Linked DNA regions of Stegostoma tigrinum. The protein of the gene in region 1 interacts with the protein of each later gene in a biochemical or structural test. Links are inferred from orthologs where the notes say so. Each region holds a gene or a part of one and is shown on either strand. Other genes may lie near its edges. The genes, in order: trinucleotide repeat-containing gene 6A protein-like, cnot1 and protein argonaute-2.

Region 1 (7,224 bases):
CATGTGATGGAAACGTAAAAGAATTATACACATGAACCCCTGGGTCCTTTTGTTCTACCACACTATCCAAGACCCTACCCTTGTTTGTTGTACCAAAATGCAATATCTTGCATTTATCCAGATTGAGTTCCATCTGTGATTTTTCAGCCCATTGACCCATTTGATCAAGACAGCTTCTTGAGCATTCTTGGATCTGCACTCATCCATGCAAGGGGAGAGTATGTCATCACACTTTTGATTTGTGCCCAGTAGATGGACTTTGAGAAGTCTAGAGGTGAGTTGCGTGATGCAGAATTCATGGCTTCATCTTGTAGCCAGTTCACCTTCTAGTAACTGGTAACTCCCAGTATGTTTAAAGTAGGGGATTCAGCATTTTTAGTGCCATTGAATGTCAAGAGGCATTGGTTGGTTTCTCACTTGTTGGAGGTGTTCATTCCCTGGCACTTATATGATGCACCTGTTCCTTATAAACCCAAGCTTGAATTTTGTCCATGCCTTGGTATTTGAGGAGTTGTGAATTGTGCTGAACATTGTACAATCTTCATGAACATCCCTACCTCTGATCTTATGATGGAAGAAAATAATTGAAGGGATGGATGAAGGTGTTTGGGCCTAGGACACCAGTCTGAGGAACTCTTGCAGTGATGTCCTGTGGCTGAGATGATTGACTTCAAACAATAACAACTATTGTCCTTTGTGCTACATATGACTCCTTTGATTCTGATTGACGACAGTTATTCTAATACTGTTTGATGCCACATCCAATCAAACACAGCCTTGATGTCAAGGACAGTCAACCTGGTATTGCTTAAGTCTGTCTAATCACATGTTGCTAGTACTGCTGCTCTGTGGCTTCACCAAGTTGACATCTAATCGTTAGATATACTTGGTGCTGCTCCTGACGTGATGTCTTGCACTCTTCATTGAACCAGGGTTGATTCCCCTGCTTGGGCAATCCCATAACCAACAGATCAGATCCTAGCTCTGCAAATCTGCCACATCCAGTCATTAACGGTACTGGACAACTAAGCAACTCACTTGGAAAAGTAGGTTCCACAAATAACTCCATCCTTGTCGATTGGGAAGCCCAGCCCATCAATGCAAAAAACGAGTTCGAAGCATTTTCAGTCAGGAGTGCCAAGTTGACGATTCACCTTGGCCTCTTCCTAAAGTTACAGGATCACAAAAGCCAGCCTTTTGCCAACACAATTTGCTCTACATGATATCAAACAACGGCTGAAGGCACTGGCTGCTGTAAATGTTACAGGTCATGACAACATTCTGGAAATATACTAAAGGTTTGTGCTTGTAATCTTTGATTTGGGGATCTCCTAGGCTATGAAGTCAAATGTTGCATAAAGTTTTGGTGCTGCTGATCCACAGCACATCATGTTGCTCAGTTTTCATTTGCTAGATTGGTTTGAAATCTAACCAATTCCACACAGTGATTTTGCCACAGAAAATGATGGAAGTATCCTCAAAGTGAAGTCTGTAAAGACAGTGCGATAATGTCAGGGACAGGTGTATCCGCTAAATGTAGATCATTTAGGATGAGGTCAATTATATTTTTTTCGTTTTGTTGGTTCTGTCATTGCCTGCTGCAAGCTCAGTATTGCAGCTATGTCCTTTAAGATTCAGACACATTTGCTAATAGTGGTGCTACTGAGCCACTCTTGGTGCTGTACATTGAAGTCCCCACCTGTGTACATTCTGTGTCCTTGACACCATCAGTATGACCTCCAAGTGGCTATTAAAATAGAGTACAACTGATTTATCAACTGTAGTAAGTGGTAATAAGCAGGAGGTTTCTTTGGCCATGTTTAACTTGATCCATGAGATTTCATGGGGCCTGTAGTCAAACTTGAGGAATCCCAGGGAAACACTCTTTTGAATGCCTATCACTGTGCTGCTACAGTGGCTCTTTTCTGTCATTGGGCTTGTGATCATGGTGTCATGGACAGTGCCTGTCAGATCTGATTCAATCAGAATGACTATGTCTAGCAGTTGGACATATATACCAAAATTGGGAGAAGACTCTTGATGTTAGTAAGGAGGACATTTTAGGGTCAACCAGGGCCATTATCACTTCTGGTCTGCCTGGTTTCATCTCCTTTAACAGACTTCGTTGTGGTTAGGTACAACTCCTGGACATTTACGAATCAACCACAGTACTGTGAATATGCAGACACAAGTAGAACAGACCAGGTGAGGATTACAGATATCACTTCCCTAAAGGGCTTTACAACACTTGTGGCCACCATTGAATTCCGCATTTAAATTTGGTGATTTCAAATGTCAGGATTTTTTTTTGTAGTGAGATTCAAACAAAAGTCCTCAGGGCCTCTGGAGTTACTGGTCCAGTGATAATACCACTCTGCTGGCATCTCTCCAATGCTACGGCTGAAAGTGCCAGAAGTTGCCAATAAACTTTGGGCTCAATCTCACAAGAAACTAGTAGGTAGAGAGAAGAAAGTCTGAGATTAGTGTTGAAGATGTAGGTTTCTAAATTTAGGATTAATTTTTATGAGGAGAAGGTTTTCTCATTGAAAATGTACTGTGAATTGTCAAGGGATTTATAAAACAAAGTAAAGGGATCTTTTGACTGATAAAGCTGGTACAATATCAGTGTTTAACAGTATAATATTTAGGAGTTTTACTCAAAATCTAACCTTCGCCGTACTTGCCTGGAGGTATTAAATAAAAGAGTGTTAAGTCAGTTTTATTCTACGTTTAATTCATGATATGGTTAACTTCAGATGGTTTGAATGGCTTTATTCTGAGCTATGCCTGATGATGATACACAGCACCCAACAAGGGAAATTGTTTAATTCACCAACAGATTTCTATCACTTTGATTATGGATATCTAACAATGATGAGTCAAAATACAGAAGGGAGATAAAGAGCTTGGTGACTTGATGCAATGAAATCAATCTGTCTCAACGTCAACAAAACTAAAGAACTGATCATCGACTTCTTAAAGAAAGGAGGAGAACACACTCCCATCTAAATCAACGAAACTGAGTTTGAGAGAGTGAAGAACATCAAGTTCCTCCGAGTGATGATAACTGGTGACCTGTCCTGGACTTCACATAAATGCAAGACAAGAAGGCACAACAATGCCTCTTCTTCCTCAGGTGGCTCAGGAAATTTGGCAGGTCTATAATGTCCTTCACCAACTTCTACAGGTGCACCATTGAAAGCATACTGTCCACGTGCATAATGGCTTGGTATGGCAACTGCTCTGCCCAGGACTGCAAGGAACTACAGAAGATGGTGTGCACAGCCCATACCATCACAGAAGTCAACCTTCCATCCATGGACTCTACTTAAATAGCTCTCTACCGCATAAAAGCAGCCTACATCATCAAAGACCCATCTCACCCTGATAATGAACTCCTCCAACGTCTTCTGTTAGGCAGAAGATACAGAAGCATGAACACACACAGTGACAGGTTCAGGAACAGTTTCTTTCTGGCTGTTATCAGACTGTTGAAAGGACTCTAGCCTCAAATAATGTAACCTGTATGTCTTTGGTCTGTACATCCTTTGCTGTAATCTGCCTGTACCGACCGTAAACAATGCTTTTCACTCTATTTCGGTACACGTGACAATAAAATCAATCAAATCAAATGCAGAAAAAAACACCAGATAATTCAACTGTGGTAAAATAATACCAAAATCTATTGAGATTGGAATGAATTAAAAAGTAAATCAATTGCAGGGGTAGTCCGTCGAAACTAACAGCCGAGCGAACTCAACTGCTTGAGAATGTGAAAATGCCCAAGGTCGAATATTCTATGAGAACAACGGTAAAATGGAGTTTGGAAACTTGAGGTTGGAAAGCACAAATATGTGATCGCTCGATGAGGACAAGTTGTACAGTAGAATATCGCACGAATATTCTATGATGAACGGGCAAGGGTGACTTGAACTGGGGAAACTACATGAGGAGAAAACTGGGTGTGCACAATGACTGTCTTTAATTTAACTTCCAAACGCGATTTTTGAGATAAATATCCAATGACTTCCTGTCTCCGAACTCCCTTCCAACGCTAGAGAATTAATTATTATTGGTATTCGTACATCCTTGAGAGCTTACTGTCAACTTACAGCTCGTTTTCTTTCCTGCCCTCCCCTCAATGCTGAGCCGGTTGCCATGTGATCAGCCATTTGCGGACCGGAAGTGCCCAGCCGCGCGCTGTTGGACCAGTTCCTGTCAGTTAGGAGAAGATGGCGGCTGTGGAAAGTGATCGCTGTGTTTGGCGCCGCGGCCACTCGCACACTCACTGTTAAAGCCTTATTCGCATGTTTAGCTTTCGAATTTCTCACTGTTGCACTTTACATTAATGAGGTGTGTAGATTTATTTTTTCCCTGGATTGTGCAAACGAGCCGGCTCGGGAGCACGCAGTCCACCGACCGTTTTGTTTGATGCTGTGTCGCCGCTAAACGGGGGAGCGTCGGGTAATGGGGTGGAGAGAGTGAGAGAGAAACAAGTAGGCCCCTCTGTTGCTGCAGCCGTAGGATAGGGCCTGTGTGCAAATCCCGCATTGCAGCGCTCTGAACTTAAGGCATTTCTGCGGTTTTGTGCTTAAAAATAATACTCAAAATAGCCTTCTGATTGTCGCCTGTTTAATTGCAGAGGATTGGAGGCTAACGCTACCAAAGAAGCTCAAGGTAAACTAAACAGGTAAGGTTTGCCTTTGGTTCATTTTGCAGTTAAATATATTCAAGTTAAATTTGGGGAGGAAAATATCTGGCCTTCACCCACTCATGTATAGCCTCCTCCTCCTCCCCCCCCCCCCCCTTATCTCGCTTGAGTTGAACTGTGAAGAAAAATTGTAGAATAAATACTGGAACTTGCAAATGTTGCATATACTATAAAAATAACTGGGATTGGATCGGGGTCAGGAAAGGCATGGCGTGTTGTGCCGCCCAACCAGATGTTAACTGGTAAACATGCATTTTGCAAGAGTCGATCGGCCTCGCTGCAAATTAAGGGATGTAAAGTGCAGTGTATACAAATTTAGAAGTAATTCAGATTTTTCAGATGTGGTTATTCTTTCAACTGGCTGTTACTTTGAGAGCATTTACTTTGCTCCTCCATTTTTTGAAGGTAGTTATTATCTTTCATTGGTGAATGAGTGTTCCTGTAGTATATTATCATTGTTGTTATTTCTTAACTTCAAGTTCTAGGGTGAGCTTGCCTTGTCCATACGGTTCAGTTCCGTATCGTGTGTGTGCGTGTGTGTATCCTCAGATGCCAAAAAAAACATGATTCCTCAATCTGTTTAAATTTTTATAGAAATTGTGAAGCTGCTAAACATTTGAGAGACGTTTATAAATGTAGGAAAATGTTCTGACACATTTTCAGTAATAAGATATCCCAACATACTTCACAGGACTATGACCAGATCCACATTTACACTAAATGAATGAAAATGTGAAGACTAATGGTAAAAATTTGGTTAATTAGGTGGTTTCTAAGGCTTAAAGAATAAAATTTATAGATGTAGCTGGAGGCAAAAGTGGTGAGCAGGAATGTAGGGTGCAGTGGAGGGCCACATTAGTCATGTGCCATTCTCAGAATTATGAGACTGGATTCAAACATTAGCATGATGGTAATATCGTAAAAAAAAATACAGGCAGTGCAAGCATGAATGGGACAGGCTCCAAAATTTTGGATTCGTTACCTCAAAACAAGCTTCTGTTTTGAGGTTGAGATGTTTTGAGGTTGTGAAAGGTGCTCCATTAGCTTATAAGATAACAAGGTGTAGAGCTGGATGAACACAACAGACAAAGCAGCATCAGAGGAGTGGCAAAGCTGATGTTTCGGGTTGAGACCCTTCTTCAGAAATGAAGATGTCTGACCCATTCCTGAAGAAGGGTCTCGACCCGAAACATCAGCTTTCCTGCTCCTTGGCCTGCTGTGTTCATCCAGCTCTACACCTTGTTATCTCAGATTCTCCAGCATCGGCAGTTCCTACTAGCTCCAAAAGCTTACGTTGGTTTTCTATCCACCAAATGCTGAGTTTCTGAGATCACATTGGATGCAATGTTGAAAGTGCAAATATGGGAATATAAATCTTACTATTTTCAATGATTGCCTTGCCAAAAGGGCAATTTTATTTATTTTTTGATTATGTATGGTAGGTTGCTGCTGCTTAAAAAACTTTGTTCTTTTTGACAACATCCTGTCCCTGCGTTGTTGTGCCTTTTTCTGTTTCAGGACTGGTTGTTAGGAAGATAGGGCTAGGACTCGGTCAAGTTAACCTTCAACATATGAGGATCTTGACAGTAAAAGCAGATAATAGTGACAGGATTGACATTTGCATGGGTTTGTGAAAGAGAAATCATACTTCACAAATCCTCTAGCATGTTTTGAAAACGTAGCCAGTAGAGGTGATCAGTCAGGGCTGGTGCATGTGGCTAGTTAGACTTTCAAAGGACTTTCGAAAAGACCTCATGTAAGAGATTAGTATATAAAAATTAAGGTGCAAAGGATTAGGGGTAGTTTACTGACATGGATAGAGAACTGATTGTTAGCAAACAAAGAATAGGTTTCTTTTGAGTGCCAGAAATGGACTTTTGGGGTACAGGCGGGAGTCAGTGCTTGGTCCTCAGCTATTCACAATCAATATATTAATAATATTGATGAAGGAACTAAATGTAATATCTCCAAGTTTGAGTTTAATTTGGGTAAGTATGAGGTGTTGCATTTTGGTAAGACGCACCAGGGCAGGACTTATATAGTTAATGGTATGGTCTTGGGGAGTGTTAATGAACAAAGAGATCTAGCGGTGAGATGCACGGTTTCTTGAAAGTGGAATCATGGGTAGACAGGGTGGTGAAAAAGGGACTTGGCATGCTGGCCTTCATTGGTCAGTGCATTGAGTACAGGAGTTGGGATGTCATGTCACGGCTGTACAGGACATTTGGTGAGGCTGCTTTTGGACTACTGCGAACAATTCTAGTTGTTCTTCTGTGGGATGGTTGCTGTAAAACTTGAAAGGGTGCAGAGAAGATTTGCAAGGATGTTGCTGGCCTGGTGGGTTTGAGCTATAGGGTGAGGCTGAATAGGCTGGGGCTATTTTTGTTGGACCATCGGAGACTGAGGAGCCTCCTTTGTAGAGGTTCACAAAGTCATGAGGGCCACAGAAATGGTGAATGTAGCCAAGGCCTCTTGCCTGGGGTGGGGTAGTCCAAAACTGGAGGGCATAGGTT
Region 2 (7,334 bases), on another chromosome or scaffold:
TGAAGAGTTTTAAGCATTGCTCGCTATGTTTTCATGTGGATTTAAGGGCAACTCAGGTTAGGATCTTGACAGTGTAAAACATAATTTCCAGGTTCTCTTCAATCTCTGAATGGCTATAGCATCAATGTAACCTTAAACAAGATGCTAACATGCAACACACAATTTCTTGTTCAATAATACAGCCTCTTCTAGTTACAGCAGAAAGTGATTTTCTTCTACCACAGCAGGCCAGATAGGCCTGAGTAGATCCCACCCCTAAGGGTTTGTGGGAGCAAACCTCCCACATGGTGAGGTGCAAGACGACAAATTGTGAAGCTGGATGAACACAGCTGGCCAAGCAGCATCTCAGGAGCACAAAAGCTGACATTTCGGGCCTAGAAGGGATGAAGGGTCTAGGCCCGAAACGTCAGCTTTTGTGCTCCTGAGATGCTGCTTGGCCTGCTGTGTTCATCCAGCTTCACACTTTGTTATCTTGGATTCTCCGGCATCTGCAGTGCCCATTATCTCTGATCACATGGTGAGGTGAAGACTTGGTTGAGCTGCACAAAGAACAGTGGAAAAGGTAAAATAAAAGAGAGAAATAGCATTAAAAAAAAATCACATATCCACATTAGCTGTTAGGACTTGGCGAAGCAAGTCATTGTGAATGATCCAGTGCATTCTCTTCCCTGCTGTTGAAATCACATTCAAGTAGGCTTTCATGGTATCTTTAAAACCGTTCTGTTGACCACCCTAGGACCTTTGACCAGTCGTGAGCTGGGAGTAGAAAGGTCATTTTGAACAAGTGTTCAGCATTCTCCTGCAATGGCCTGTCTGGAGTAGTTATCATGTAGGATTGTTCATTTCCTTGCTCACGATGCCTACTTCCTGTAGGCTGTTTATATTGCATGGTGTTATGCAGATTAGATATTCGATAGGCAGCACTGATGGTTTTGTCTCAAACTTTCCCAGGTGTCACCAATTTGTCAACCAAATTTTGCAGCCTGACGGGCGTGTTGGGAAGACAACCGCTTTATAGACTGACATTTATACCCATTGTCGAATGCAGAATTCAGAAGAATAAACTATTTTAGAGTCTTGAAAATACGGAACTTGCTACTAGCAAAGTGTAGTACATTAAGAGCATATGGCAATCACCAGTCTTAAACCTCTTTATAGCTAATTACAAAGTTTTGAACTGGAGCCAGTGTTGTAATGTGGAAAATGCTAGACAAACAATGGGAAAAGGGAATACATATATCTATGATGATAGATTGAAGACGGAAGGAGACTCAAGTGTAGCTAGTACAGACCATTTTGGTTATGTCTCCTATCTAAAAATTAAATATTTAGTGGCAACTCAAAATACTGCAACCATTGCAGACGAAAAACAGTGCCATCTGCTCCAAATTCCCCATTGATTTGTGATTATCTCGCTTTATTCCCACACTATGCTGACAAGTATCAGCAGAGACTATTTATTTTTGTATACCTTTCTTAAACCACACCCAAGTTACAAGTGCTGTATCAGCTTTCTGTTCACAGTAGTTAGCACTGATTCAAAGAATCACTCACAGCTAAATGACAGTTAACTGCCACTGAAAAAAAGTTTTTGTTGTGTTGAGGAGCTTGCAATTTCTTTTAACAGATTTTTTACAAGTCCTCAAGGTGTTGTTTGCTGGTCAATGGCTTTCTGTGAGGGTCCTCCAGGTAGTCCATGGGTAGGTCCAATCGCAAATCACTGATATGCAATGCCAGGGTTAATTGTGAGAACACACCAGAATCCACTTGTGTCATCACACAACTGGATCGGCTCCCATGTGTAGCATAAATTGTCAAAAGTGTGAGAAACAACAATATTGTTTTATATTTTATCTTGTTACAACACACCATCACAAATTTGGATTTTTAAACAATCAGAAGAACCAGGTGAACATGGAGGCCAACATAAAAATAAAGCTCCCCACCTTAAGCGAGACATTACCAAAACCAACATCAATTTTCCATAATTTTAATGCTATTTTAGGAATGGCAACTGTGTTGGGTGAAGGGTGGCGAAAGGCCAATAGGTGGCATGCAAGGTCCATTGCCATTGGAGAACCAATTAACTGAAACATTTAAACTTAATTTCCTCACATGAAGGATGTAGTGAGGTGGAACTTGCTGTCGCAGAATAACTGAACAGAACAGCATTGAATTACGCTCAGAGGTATAATGATAAGAGTGGAATAGAAGCAGGGCTGTGTGAGGGTTAATCCTGAAAGGATTATAAGGGCTAACTCCCAGAGGGGTGGGATGGGATGTTAATTAATTGGGGGAAGGGAGTGGGGGTGGGGGTGGGGAGGGGCTGTCTGAGGGTCGATCTCCAGGCGTGGGGGTTGGGAGGGGCTGCCTGAGGGTCAATCCCCAGGGTGCGTGGTGAAGCGGGTGGGTCAATCCCCGGGGTGTGTAAGGCTCACAGGGTTAATCAAAGTTGGGGGGGGGTGGTAAAGAGGGGTGGAATATGGGGCCGGGAAGGTGTGTGACAGTTAATCTGGGGGAGGTGATGGTTAGTGTAGGGGAGGGTCGCTGAGGGTTAATCCCGGGGGGAGAGGCGGAGTATTGGGGGGGAGGAGCTGTGTGAGGGTTAATCATGGGGAGGGAAAAGACTGTTGGGGGGAGAGGGCGGTTTGTGATGGTTAATCCCGTGGGTGGTGGACGGGGGAAGGAGCTGTGTGAGGGTCAATCCCCGCGGTGGTAGAGGTGCTGAGAGGGTTAATCCCCGGGAGATGGGAGGAGGGTAGGATGAACAAATTGCTCCTCTCTCGTTAACGCGCCTAATAATTATTAGAGAATAACCTACCCCCAACACTTGGTACAGATTCGGAATATTCCGCTTCAACAAGAATTTCCCTGTTGGCACAGAATGAAATGTCTTTTAAAACTAAAAAAACACCCATTCCACGAAGATTCGATTTAAAAGAAACTACAGAGTAAAATTTTGCGTGTTCGTTAAAGTAAAAATTCGTTTATCTTAAAGAGGGCGACAAAGTTTGGACTGTACCAATTTTGGTGGGGACAGAGAGACGTCTGCGATTGACTTGTATTATGTACGCGGTCCCGGCAACTGAGGGCGGGGTTTGTTGTTGAACCCCTGGCGGCGAAATGGGCGATTCCTGTGATGTGCATATTAGGCGCGAGGTTTACTGTCGCCATGGGCGACGTGAGTGGCGTGGTTTCTAGCCGTGATTGGCCGGGAGTGTTTATGATTGACATGAGGATGCCTTCTTTCCCCTACCCGCCCCCCGATGACGTCCCGGGAACCTGGGGGCGGGATTTCCTCTGAGATGGATGAGGTGTGGGAGACTGATGATTGGCGTGTAGGCGCGCTGTGCCAGTCACGGCACAGGTCAGCGTAGGCGGGATTTGTGAATGGCGGGTTGAAGTCGAGTGGCCTGTAATTGGCGGATTGTGGCGGGTATTTGGCGGGATGTGTGATTGGCCACGGCTTGTTGGGGGCAGGGCATATGATTGGCGGGTACGACCAGGGCCTGCGACTGGTCCTGGCGGATGGGGGCGGGGCTTGAGGGAGAGCGTCTTTCTCTCGAACTATATCAGAGAGGGCGATGTGGAGGGGAGGAGGGGAGGAGGGGAGGGCCGAACATGTTTTTTTAAAAAAACAATTAAAGAAATAAAATAACAAACTTTGAACATATACCCGCACTGTTCTCAGCTTGAACCCGCTAACCGGAAACCCTCAACTGTTTACCGCCCCTCCTCTATCCGAACAGTCTCGCTCTCGCCCGACTAAGCGGCGGGTTCGGGGATTGTTTTCCTTCTAGTGTCGGTGTGTTTTTTTTAAAGAAAACCAAAAAAGCAAGCAATAAACTGAAGCTGAAGGCTCATTTCTTTCCCGGAGAAAATGCAAACACGATCGGGTCGGCCCTGAAAAGTTTCCTGGAGGAACATATTTTCGCCTTCCCCCCCCCGCCTCCTCTCCTCTCCTCTCCGTGTGGTTATTGTGTTTTTTTTCTCTCTCTCTCATTTTGGAAGGGTCGGTGTTTCCAAGATGGCGCAGTGAGCGAGGCCGCCGCCATTTGCAGCCGCTTGCACCGAGCCCATCAGCGAGAAAGTCGAGAGCGAGCACCCCCGTCACCGCCGCCCCCCCTCCCCATCACCACCTCCAAGCAGCAACAACAACAACAACCTCCCCGGCCCAGCAGGCCCAGGCCCACGCCGCGCTCTCTTCCCCTCTCCCTTCCCACCCCTCCTCCACCTCACCTCTCCTCCTTACTTTCCCTCCCCCAGGCTGCTATCCCCCAACATCCCCTCCCCCCCAACATCCCCTCCCCCTCTCTCTCTCTCTCTTCCCCCCCCAATCCTCCCCACACTCTCGGCCTCTCCTCTCTCGCTCTGTGTGTGTGTGTGTGTAACCCTACCGGCAGAGCAGCGCCATGTTCAGGCTACACGGAGGAGGAGGAAGAAAAGGAGGAAGAGGAGCGACAGCGGGTGAAAAGTGAGCGAGCAACCCGGGCGGCGGACCTAACTGAAATCGAGAGAGAGAAGAGAGACAGACAGACACACACACACACACATACAGACTGAGACTGACGGGGACAAAGTCTGAAGAGGAAGCGGAGCGGACACTTTGTGGAGTGACCATTGGAGCGGCGGACTTTCCCGTGAGAACACTTAGAAGGAGCTCTCTTCCTCCCCAACCCCCCTCCCCTCCTCACCACCACCACCTCCTCCGAACCCCTCAATTCCCTCCCTCTTCCATCGTTGTATATTTAAAAAGAGAGAGAGACAGACAGACAGACAGAAAGGAAAGGCGCTGAAGAGGAGAGATAAATTTTTCTTTTTCCAGTAAAAGAAAGGGGAATAATGACCATTTCCCGCTTTCCTCAGCTGACCGCCCCGACCAGCAATGAATCTTGACTCGTTATCGCTGGCCTTGTCTCAAATCAGCTACCTTGTGGACAACCTGACCAAGAAGAATTACAAATCCAGCCAGCAGGAGATCTCTCATGTGAGTTTGCCGAGAAACAAGTCTCGCACACCATGTACTAGAGGCCCCGGGAGCCTGAGGCCTGCTTCATTTCACCGAGAAAACGAAAGTGTTATGTGTGTGAGAGAGAGGGAAACTGATGTAACAATTCTTTTTTAGAAAACAAAACGACTGTCTTTGCAAACTGGTTACTCCTTTATAATGATAAAACATCAAACAATTGTAACAATAAGAAAGTAGAAAGGCAAATACAAACTCACATGGTGAAGTCTGGGCCTACCAAAAAGTTAATGGTCACATATTGAACTTAAAATTGTTTAGCGTGTAAGAGAGGGAAAGCTCCCTCGGATATTAGCTGCTGAAACAGATGGGCAGAAAGTTTTTTTTCCACGTTTGGTAAACTTTACGCTTTGTATAAACTGCTCAAGTCGGTGCTCGTAACTAACACCTTTAGGAGTGAGGCCTAGTAAAGGGGACATCAAAAGTGGGGGAAGGGAACGAATGGAACTTGTCTGTTTCTTGTGTATGGACCTGTAGTTGAAACTAATTCTTTTCAGCAATACTTCGTACTTAACACAACTTTTTGATTTGTTAAACGTTTAATATTAAGTAATTAATCTGCAAAGATTTTAATTAGAAGTATTCAGATTAATTGACAGCTTAACAAGGTCTCATTTGGTTCCTGTTTTGTTTCAGTTTAATTAGAATTCTATTTCAATTTAACTATACTAATGTGTCTCTTAGTCAATTGAACTAGTTCATTCCCTTGTTTAACTTACAAGTTGAGAGAAACTTCTCTAGCTCATTTGTTGTGAATCACTGGACTTCAAAAGCAAATTGTTCTTTGAAAGTGTCATCTAATTGTGACTGTGACTGTTCCTTGCATTTGGAAAGTTGAGTACATGTCTGTCAACCATTGGAAGGAAGTGGGATTTGTAGAAAATACCATATAGTTGAATGGCAACTACAAAGGTGTTGAAATTTTTTGTCATGATTAAGCTGGAACAGTCGACAAAATTGAAACCTGAAACAAATGAGAAAACCACTTGAATTCAGAATTGTCTTCTTGCTTGAAGATATGTTTGAGTAGAAGGTGCAGTTTTGTAACTTATTGCTTGATCGTTATACATTAGGACAGTGAAAGACAATCGTTCTTCTTTTACAGCAAACTTTATTTGATATAATTACTGGAAATATACTCAAGGGGAGGCAATGCTCTAATGGAATTATTGCTGGACTATTAATCTGTAGACAGGTAATGTTCTGGAGACCTGGTTTCAAATCTTGCCAGGGCAAATCATGACATTTGAATTGAAGAAAACTCTGGAATTGAACTCTAATGACAATGAACCCATTGTCAATTTTTGAATAGACCGACCTGGTTCACTATTGGTTTTTTTAGGGATGGAAACTGCCATCCTTCCTTGGACTACATGTGACTCCAGACTTACAGCAATCTGGTTAACTCAGACCTGCCCTCTGGGGTAGGCAGTAAATGCTGGCTTAGCCAGCAGATGCCCTCAACCCATGAATGAATAAAAAAACTCGACCAGTATCTGTGATGAGATAGTTTGGAATCCTTGGGTATTTTTGGATTTTGTTTTGATCTTTTCAAAACAATTTGCAACTTGTTCTTGTCATAGTTTAAAATTCAACTGAGTTCTAAAACTTACTGAAGTTTTTGAACATTGAGGAAAGCAGTCAATGTGTGATCTTTAAGGAGAGAATTTACCCAGCCTTAAAAAAAAGTACTTCAGGAAGTTTAGTGACTTGCTCTGCTACAAATTTATTAATTGTATGTGAAGTTGGCTTTGCTAATTTATGATTAGTCATAGAATTATACAGCATGCAAACAGACCCTTTGGTCTGACCAGTCAAAGCTGACCATGTTCCTAAACTAAACTAACCCAGCTGCCTGCATTTGGCCCATTTCTCTCCAACCCTTTTTTATTCATGTACTTATCCAAATGTCTTAAATGTTGTAACTGTATCTGCATCCACCACTTCCTTTGGCAGTCCAGTTCCCATACTATGCCAATGTGTTTTTTAAAAAAAAAGCCCATTCTTTTTAAATCTTTCTCCTCTCATTTTAAAAATATGGTTCTGAACTCCCCCAGCCTAGGGAAAAGACTAATGCCTCTATAATTTTATAAACCTCTAAGGTCACCCTACAACTTCCTATGCATCAGCGAAAAAAGTCCCAGTCTTTTCAGCCTATTTTTTATATCTGAAACTGTCCATCCCCAGCAACATCCTGGTAAATCTTTTCTGAGCCCTCTACTGTTTAATAATATCCTTCCTATAGCAGGGCAACCAGAACTGCGCACAGTACTCCAGAAGAAGCCTCATCAACCTCCTGAATAACCTC
Region 3 (7,697 bases), on another chromosome or scaffold:
TGTCACTGCATGTTGCCCTCAAAGCAGATGTGGTGGAGGGGGCGGTGCTTAGACTGTCACATATCCCTTGCTGGAATGTGCCTTTGCAAAGGGTGTCCAGAGAAAGATGCAGTGGTTTTTGACAGGGTTTGTCCACAGCAGGTCTGTGCTCTGTGATCTGTTCCCCAGGATACACATCGAGACAAACATTAACTGCATCTGGCAGACCATCAAAACGGTAAAAGACGTTCTTTGGTCTGCCCGAAACTTGTTGGCCTTCCAGAACAAGGAGTTGACCTCAACCAAGTGTTGCAGGCTGGCATGTTCCCAAGGTCCAGGACTATGTGCTGAGGGCCGCAATGGAGCCTGGTGTAGCTGCCACCAAGGCACACTGGATAAAGCCATTGTTCTGAGGTCTTCCTGCTGAAGGTAAGTGGAGGTCCATTCAGTTATCTCACCCTCCTGATACCTCAATGAATGTAAATGTGGTCTTGTATGTGTAAGAGATGTCTTTGGTTTGTTTGGACACAGACAAACGCCAATGTTTGTTTATTTCCTCAAAATGTTACTTTACAGAACCAAAGAAAGCCTTTGACAGGATATTGCACATCTACATCAGGAATGTCCTCTCCAAAATGGGCTTTAGGGAAGAAATCCACAATTGGATCCAACTGCTATACATCAAATTCAAAGGCTTTGGAGAGGGCATGGAAAAGTTTTACCAGCATGTTGCCTGATTTGAAGGGTACTACAAGGAGAGATTTGACAAAATTGGTTTGTTTTCACTTGAAGGATGACCTGATAGAAGTTAACAAAATTATAACAAGTGTGGATAGAATGCATAGTCAAAGTCTTTTTTTCCAGGGTAGGAATGTCAGTTACTAGATAACATAGATTTCAGGTAAAAGGGGGAAGATTTAAAGATGATGTGAGGGGCAAGTTCTTTACACTGAGGGTGGTAAGTTCCGGGAATGGAGGTGATAGAAATAGATACGATAGCAATGTTCAAGAAGAATCTTGATGGGATATGACTGCATAGAGGCAATGGTTTTTAGTTTAGAAAGGCTTCATGTGTTGGCGCAGGCTCGGTGGACTGAAGGGCCTTTCCTGTGCTGTTCCGTTCTTTTTTCTTTTAATATCAATAGCACAGTCTCAATTGATGGGTGGGAATCAAAAGATTTCCTGATCATATCTGGAGTTGGGCAGGGCTCCTCTCTCTCCTGCCTTTTTTGTGTTGCACAGAGCCTTTTGCCGAGTCCATCCAGATGGATTCAAGCCTGGGAGGGGTGACTCTTCGAGGCAGTAGAAAGCCTCCCTGAACAAGGATGACTTTGTACTGGCATCAGGAGCCAAAGTAAATCAAGGCAAGAGTGAGGCCATTTTCTTTGGGAACTGGATCAACTGATCCTTATCCGCTTTACCATCATGCCAGATCACCTGAAGATGTTGGGAATATCATTCATTTAGGCCACGGCGTGTGCTAAAACTTGGGAGGAGCATATTGCCAAGGAAAAGTAGAAACTAGGCAGATGGGAGCACCAGCCTCTCTCTCTACTGGAGGTAAAAGCCTGGTCATCAGGTGCGAGGTAATTTTGGTGTTGCTGCACATGGCACAGGTCGGGCCCATTCTCCCAGCCTTGACCACTGCAGTCACCCGAGCCACTTTCTCTGGAGATCAAAGATGGATCATATTCAGACATCATGTACAAAGCTCCAGATTGGCAGAAGGACATACCCAATGCCAACCTAATCCTCATGGCTAACTTTATGTGCTCTGCATCAAACTGTGCGTGGACCGTCAGTAAATAAACACCATGTATTATTACATACTGAGGTCCAAACTGCCCCTGGTGTTACAAATGATAGGCCTGACCTCATTATTGTGTGGTTTCCCAGAGCAGACTGTCAAACCTATTTGGCTGAATGCCTCATCACCAGAACTTGGCAACAAGCACTAAACTGTAACTTGGCTGCTGGCAAGAAGGGCACTAAGAGTCATATTCTTCATTTTCACCCAGACTCTCTCCGACACCACTGCTGTCCTTGAGGCAGCTGCGGGGGTAGCAGAATTCCGTGCTGTACGGGCACTGAGACAAGTATTGACCGCACCTGGAAAACATCAACTCTTGTGAAAGATGTTCTCTGGTCTGGAAGAAATCTGTCAGCCTTGCAGTGTAAAGAGTTGATCTCGAAAGAGTGCTACAGGCTGGCACTTTCCAGGTGCAGAACTACACGCTGAGGGACTCACTAAAACTTGGAGCAGCTGCTGCCAAAAAGCAGTGAGGAAAGAGCACCATCTAAGGTCTTTCTGCTGAAGTACAACAAGGATCTAGAGTCATAGAGTATTACAGCACAGAAACAGACCCTTCAGTCCAAGCTGACCATAATCCCAAACTAAGCTTGTCCCTTTTGCCTGCTCTTGGCCCATATTCCTCCATACACTTCTTATTCATGTACTTATACAATTGTCATTTAAACTGTTGCCGAATCCACTACTTCCTCTGGATGTTCATTCCACACACGAACCAGTGTAAATAATTTGCCTTGTCTCTTTTTAAAATCCTTTTCCTCTCACCTAAAAAATACAGTTCCTAGTCTTGAAATACACCACCCTTATCCATTGACCTTATCTATATTCCTCATTATTTTATAAACCTCTCAGTTCACCTCTCAACTTACTACTCCAGTGAAAAAAATCCCAGACTGTCCAGCCTCTCATAACTCAAACCCTCCATTCCCGGCAACATTGCGGCAGATCTCTTCTGAACCTTGACCAGTTTAATAATATCCTTCCCATAATAGAATGAGCAGAACTGGACACAGTACTCCAGAAGAGGCTTCACTGCTCCCTGGGTAACCTCAACATAACATATGATTACTATATTCGAAGGTCTGAGCAATAATGGCAAACGTGATATATGCCTTCTTAACCACTTTATCTATATGTGATGCAAACTTCAAAGAATAATGTATCTGAACCCCTATGTTTCTCCGCTCTCCAACACTGCTCAAGGCCCTACTTTTGATTGCATAAGTCTTGTCTTTGTTTGTTTCACCAAAATGTAATACTTTGCATTTTTCCAAATTAAATGGGTCAGTTATCAGATCCTGTCCTTGCCTCAAAATGTATGTAAATAGTTATCTACTATGAGTAGAAAATGCTTTGGTTTTGCAACTGTAGGCGAGCTCTGAGGAAGGTCAAAATTCCAATATGTATTTTCTCTGCAAAGACTTCACAGATCTTTTAGAGTCAGAGAATCCCTGAAGTGTGGAAGAAGACCATTCGTTACAACAAGTCCACACCGACCCTCCGCAGAGAATCCCACCCACACCCACCCCTTACCCTATCCCTGCGTTTCTTACCCTGGACACTATGAGCAATTTACTGCAGCCAATCCATCTAGCCTCCAAATCACTGGACTGTGGAATGAAACTGGAACACCCGGAGGAAACCCACGCAAACATGGGGAGATCGCGCAAACTCCATACAGGCAGTCGCCCGGGGCTGGAATCGCACCCGGGTGCAATTTAAAAAACATCATAAGTTTTTAAAAACTGAAAGAACTGCGGATGCCGTGAATCAGGAACAAAAACAAAGTTGCTGGAAAAGCTCAGCAGATCTGGCAACATCTGTGAAGGAAAAAAACAGAGCTAATGCTTTGGGTCCAGTAGCCCTTTTTCAGAACTGATGGTGGTTGGGAAAGCAGCAGTTTATATGCAGAAAATAAGAGACGGGGGAAGGGGTAGGGAGCAAATGATAGAATAGAGCCCAAAGAGAGAGGAGCAGTTGGACAGTCAACAGTTGATAATGATCAGGCTGGGAGGGTGAATAATGACTAATAGCAGGTGGTGTGTGATGCCATGGTAACAAGGTCTGGTGTGTGGGGTGGGGGTCTGGGACATGGGAGAGTTTAGGTCCTAAAATTATTGAATTCGGTATTGAGTCCAGAAGGCTGCAAGGGGTCCCCAAGTGGAAAATGAGGTGTTGTCCTTCTGCATTGAGCTTCGCTGATACACACCAGCAAGCCAGAGACAAGAGATGTTGGCCAGGGAACGCGGTGGTGCTTTAAAGTGGCAGGCAACAAGTAGTTCAGGGTCTCTTTTTCTGAGCGGAAGGCAGATGTTCTGCGAAGCGGTCACAAACTTCATCGGAAGTTTTTAACTGATGTCAAAAAAAGCGCATTCTGCAGTGGCAAAAGGTGTTTAAAACCAAACAGCCCTCCAGCCTGCTCTGCCTGATCAGTCTCTCCTCACAAACACTGCTGTTTCCCGTGATCTTTGATTCCCCTCCTGATCGGGCATCTGCCCAGCTCAGCCTTCAACGTTACACAGGCATTTTGCCTCCACAGCTCTCTGTTTCTCGACACGTACACTCACATTCACTCTCCCAGTTACTGTCATACTACAAAAACGCACAACCACATGGGTGGAATGCCCAACCCGCACTGGAGGTCCGACCTGTCGAGGGCGCATGCGCGCTACACGTTGGCGCCCTCCGCTGGCTCGAATGGCGGGCGCGCGCGCGGGAGGCGGGAGGCGCGAGGCGTTTGCGGTCGCGGGGTGGGGGAGAGGAGGCGTAACGTTCGGGCGTACGGCGGCGCGCTGGGGACCGCCTCCTGCGCTTGCGCGTTGCACCGCCCGTCAAGTGTCTGGCCCGGGGTTTTCTGTCCCCGTTTCACTATCCTTCCTCGTATGTCCCCCATCTCTCCATCGGGAATTATTAATGTTTTTCTTCCTCATGAGTGCTGTTTTGTTCCTGTTTGTACTATAATTTTACATAAACACGGGGGAGGGGGGAAGGGAAACTCTCCATCTCTTCTCAGCCAGCTGCTTCCCTCCCCTTTAAACGAGGATGTATTCCGCCGGCGAACCCGGTAAGCTATTGCTTCACGTTTTTTCTTCCTTTTCTTAAAAAAAAGTTTTTCATCGTTTGAAGTGGCGCCTTACAGAGGTCTGAGGAGTTTGATGTTGCTTGCGGCCACCCTGTCTCTATTGAGGCCTCATCCAAGCCTGGGACTCGGCTACGAGGAGTGCCCCAGGTTGAAGTTGGAAGGGTGACCTGCTGTAAACCGGGCCGTGTTCTAGCTGCCAGCTTTGCTGTGCTGTGGGCTCCCCTCGCGTTTGGAAAGTTTCCGTCTTTCGTTCTCTTCCGTCCACCTTCCGCTCCCGCCCCCGTGAACTTTATAAATATAACCATAAAGGCGATACTTTGCTGTTTTCATAAATACAGTAAATCAGGACTGCGTGGGGTTATCACTGTCAGCTGTTCCCGTGGTTCAGCTTCGAATGGACGTAAAGCCTCTGTAGTACTTTCCCACTCGGATTTTAACTTGCAGCACTCAAGATGAGAGGAGTCGGGTAATTGTTCTCACTTCACTCCTAAATTACTGGAGGAAGTAAACTAGGCTGGATGGTTTGACAAAGCCGACAATGAAAGAAAACAGATGCAAAAGTGTCGCGAACAAAAACAGAAGTTGCTGGAAAAGCTCAGCAGGTCTGGTAGCATCTGTGAAGAAGAAAAAAAAATCAGTTAACGTTTCGGGTCCGCTGACCCTTCCTCTGGTCCGAACTGAGCATTTCCAGCAACTACTATTTTTGTTCCGGATTTACAGCTTCCGCAGTTCTTTCGGTTTTTAGATGCAAACGTGTGTTACTATGCGGATGAGAGAGAGAGGAGCGTTGTACTATAGTTGGATTTCTGTCATGCGTTTTAACTTAACGCTTGGGAAAGGTAAACGTAATTTTTTAAGAGAATAAACTGTGCATTATTGAAATATACAAAAAGTCCACACTGAGCTTGATCTCGTAATGATGCGAGAATGGTCTTATTTTTGATTCTTTTTTAACTGTACTCTGAATCCTACTAGATGACAGGTGATTTTGACCATCTTGGACTTCAAAAAAGATTTATCCATTTATCCCTATACCCTCTCAAGTTTTAATTAAAATCTTTATCCACTTTCTTTTATCAATGTAGATATGCATAGTCTGCTTACATCAACTGTAAATTATCTTAAATCTATACCCATTAACTCATTGAGCATTTGAAATAATTTATTTCTGTTTATCCCTCTAAAACTGTGTGTAAACTTAAGGAACAAAAACAAAGTTGCTGGAAAAGTTCAGCAGGTCTGGCAGCATCTGTGAAGGAGAAAACAGAGTTAGTTTCAGGTTCAGTGACCCTTCCTCAGAACTTAAATAATCATCTAACATACTCTTGAATACCTCATTGAAACTGGCTCCAACACACTTGCAGGCAGTGTATTCTGACTGACCAGCTCATTGCCTGAAAATGTTTTTTTTCTCACATCTTCTCATCTTGTCATCCACCTTAAATCCGTACCCTTGCATTCTTGATTCTTTTGAGTGGAAACATTTACTCCCTATGTACTTATTCAGCACCCCTCACTATTATGAAAACTTCTGTGATCTTTTATCTTTATTCCTTCCAAGGGGAACATTCCCAAGCTGTCTAATCTTTCCTTGTAACTGAAGTCTCATCCTTGTAAATCTCTTGTACCCTTTCTCCAGTGTCACCCCCAGAACTTTATCCAGCTTTGTGTGTTTTGATACAAATTCAGGATCATCTCCTTACCCTTGTACTCTGTGACCCGGTATAAAACTCAGGATACTGTATGCTTTAGTAATGCGCTGTCCACCTGATCTTTAGTGTTAATTATATGCTCACATTAAGATCCAGGTCCCTCTGCTCCTGCCTATCTTTTAGAGTTATACCCATTCTGTATTTATATTCTTCGTATAAAAATGCATCACCTGCAATCTATTCATCCTTGAATCTGTCTATGATTTATCACTGTTCCTCACGTTTTAAAATGCTTCCAAGTTTTGTATTATCCCCTGCACACCAAAGACTAGATCACAAATACATATCTGGAAGAGCAAGGGTCCCAATACTGAACCATGGGGAACTGCACTACAATCTTTTCTTCCAGAAGATATTCATTGACTATTTCTGTTTGCTTCCAATTAGTCAGCTTTTTTAAAATCAGTAACATACTGTAAGCAGATCATGGGAGTAAATCGACATTTTAAGTCTACAGACTATGACTAGTGGAGTGGTGCAAAGATCAGTGCTAGGATCTTGGCTATTTCCAATCTATATTCATGATTTGGATGACAACACTGAGTAATGTATCCAGGTAGTATCATGAGTCAAAGCTATGTGTGAATGCAAGCTACGAAGGTCAAAAATCACACAATACCAGGTTATTGTCCAACAGGTTTATTTAAAAACACAAGCTTTTGGAGTCTTACTCCTCCTTCAGATGTTAGTGAGAGAGGTAGTAAGATTCCAAAAGCTTGTGTTATCAAATAAACCTGTTGGACTATAACCTGGTGTCATGTGTTTTATGACCTGGCCCATCCCAGGCCTACACTGGCATCTCCAATCATGGAAGCTGTGAGTCAGACAAGTTAATTGAGTGAGCAACAAGGTGGCAGAAGGAGTGTGTCGTGGACTGGACACTATCCACTTGTCTGAAAACTGTCTTCCTGGCCAGATCCTGTGTTCTCAACCCTTGAATGGCCAGTATTCCAAGGGTGGAAAAACAATGTGAATCAGAGCTACTGAAAAGTTCTCCTTGATATGTGGCAGCATTGATATTCATGATAGGGACTACTTCATTATCAGTCTTGCAAAATGACACCAGCTGATCCATCAAGCTTTGATCCCAAAAGCCTTAATCACGAGGCACAGC

Evidence for each region.
Region 2: the proteins of trinucleotide repeat-containing gene 6A protein-like (region 1) and cnot1 form a complex in vitro, tested with the Homo sapiens proteins (2 studies listed by BioGRID). The link is inferred for Stegostoma tigrinum from reciprocal best matches to the Homo sapiens genes TNRC6A and CNOT1.
Region 3: the proteins of trinucleotide repeat-containing gene 6A protein-like (region 1) and protein argonaute-2 form a complex in vitro, tested with the Homo sapiens proteins (2 studies listed by BioGRID). The link is inferred for Stegostoma tigrinum from reciprocal best matches to the Homo sapiens genes TNRC6A and AGO2.

The regions. Positions count from the first base shown.
Region 1 is NC_081376.1:22,159,084-22,166,307, forward strand, and holds the start of trinucleotide repeat-containing gene 6A protein-like, read left to right. Parts: upstream 1-4,223; 5' UTR 4,224-4,348; coding exon 4,349-4,353; intron 4,354-4,642; coding exon 4,643-4,690; intron 4,691-7,224.
Region 2 is NC_081369.1:4,604,450-4,611,783, forward strand, and holds the start of cnot1 (CCR4-NOT transcription complex subunit 1), read left to right. Parts: upstream 1-4,315; 5' UTR 4,316-4,474; exon of another isoform or gene 4,475-4,866; 5' UTR 4,867-4,885; coding exon 4,886-4,987; intron 4,988-7,334.
Region 3 is NC_081358.1:112,179,820-112,187,516, forward strand, and holds the start of protein argonaute-2, read left to right. Parts: upstream 1-4,601; 5' UTR 4,602-4,831; coding exon 4,832-4,853; intron 4,854-7,697.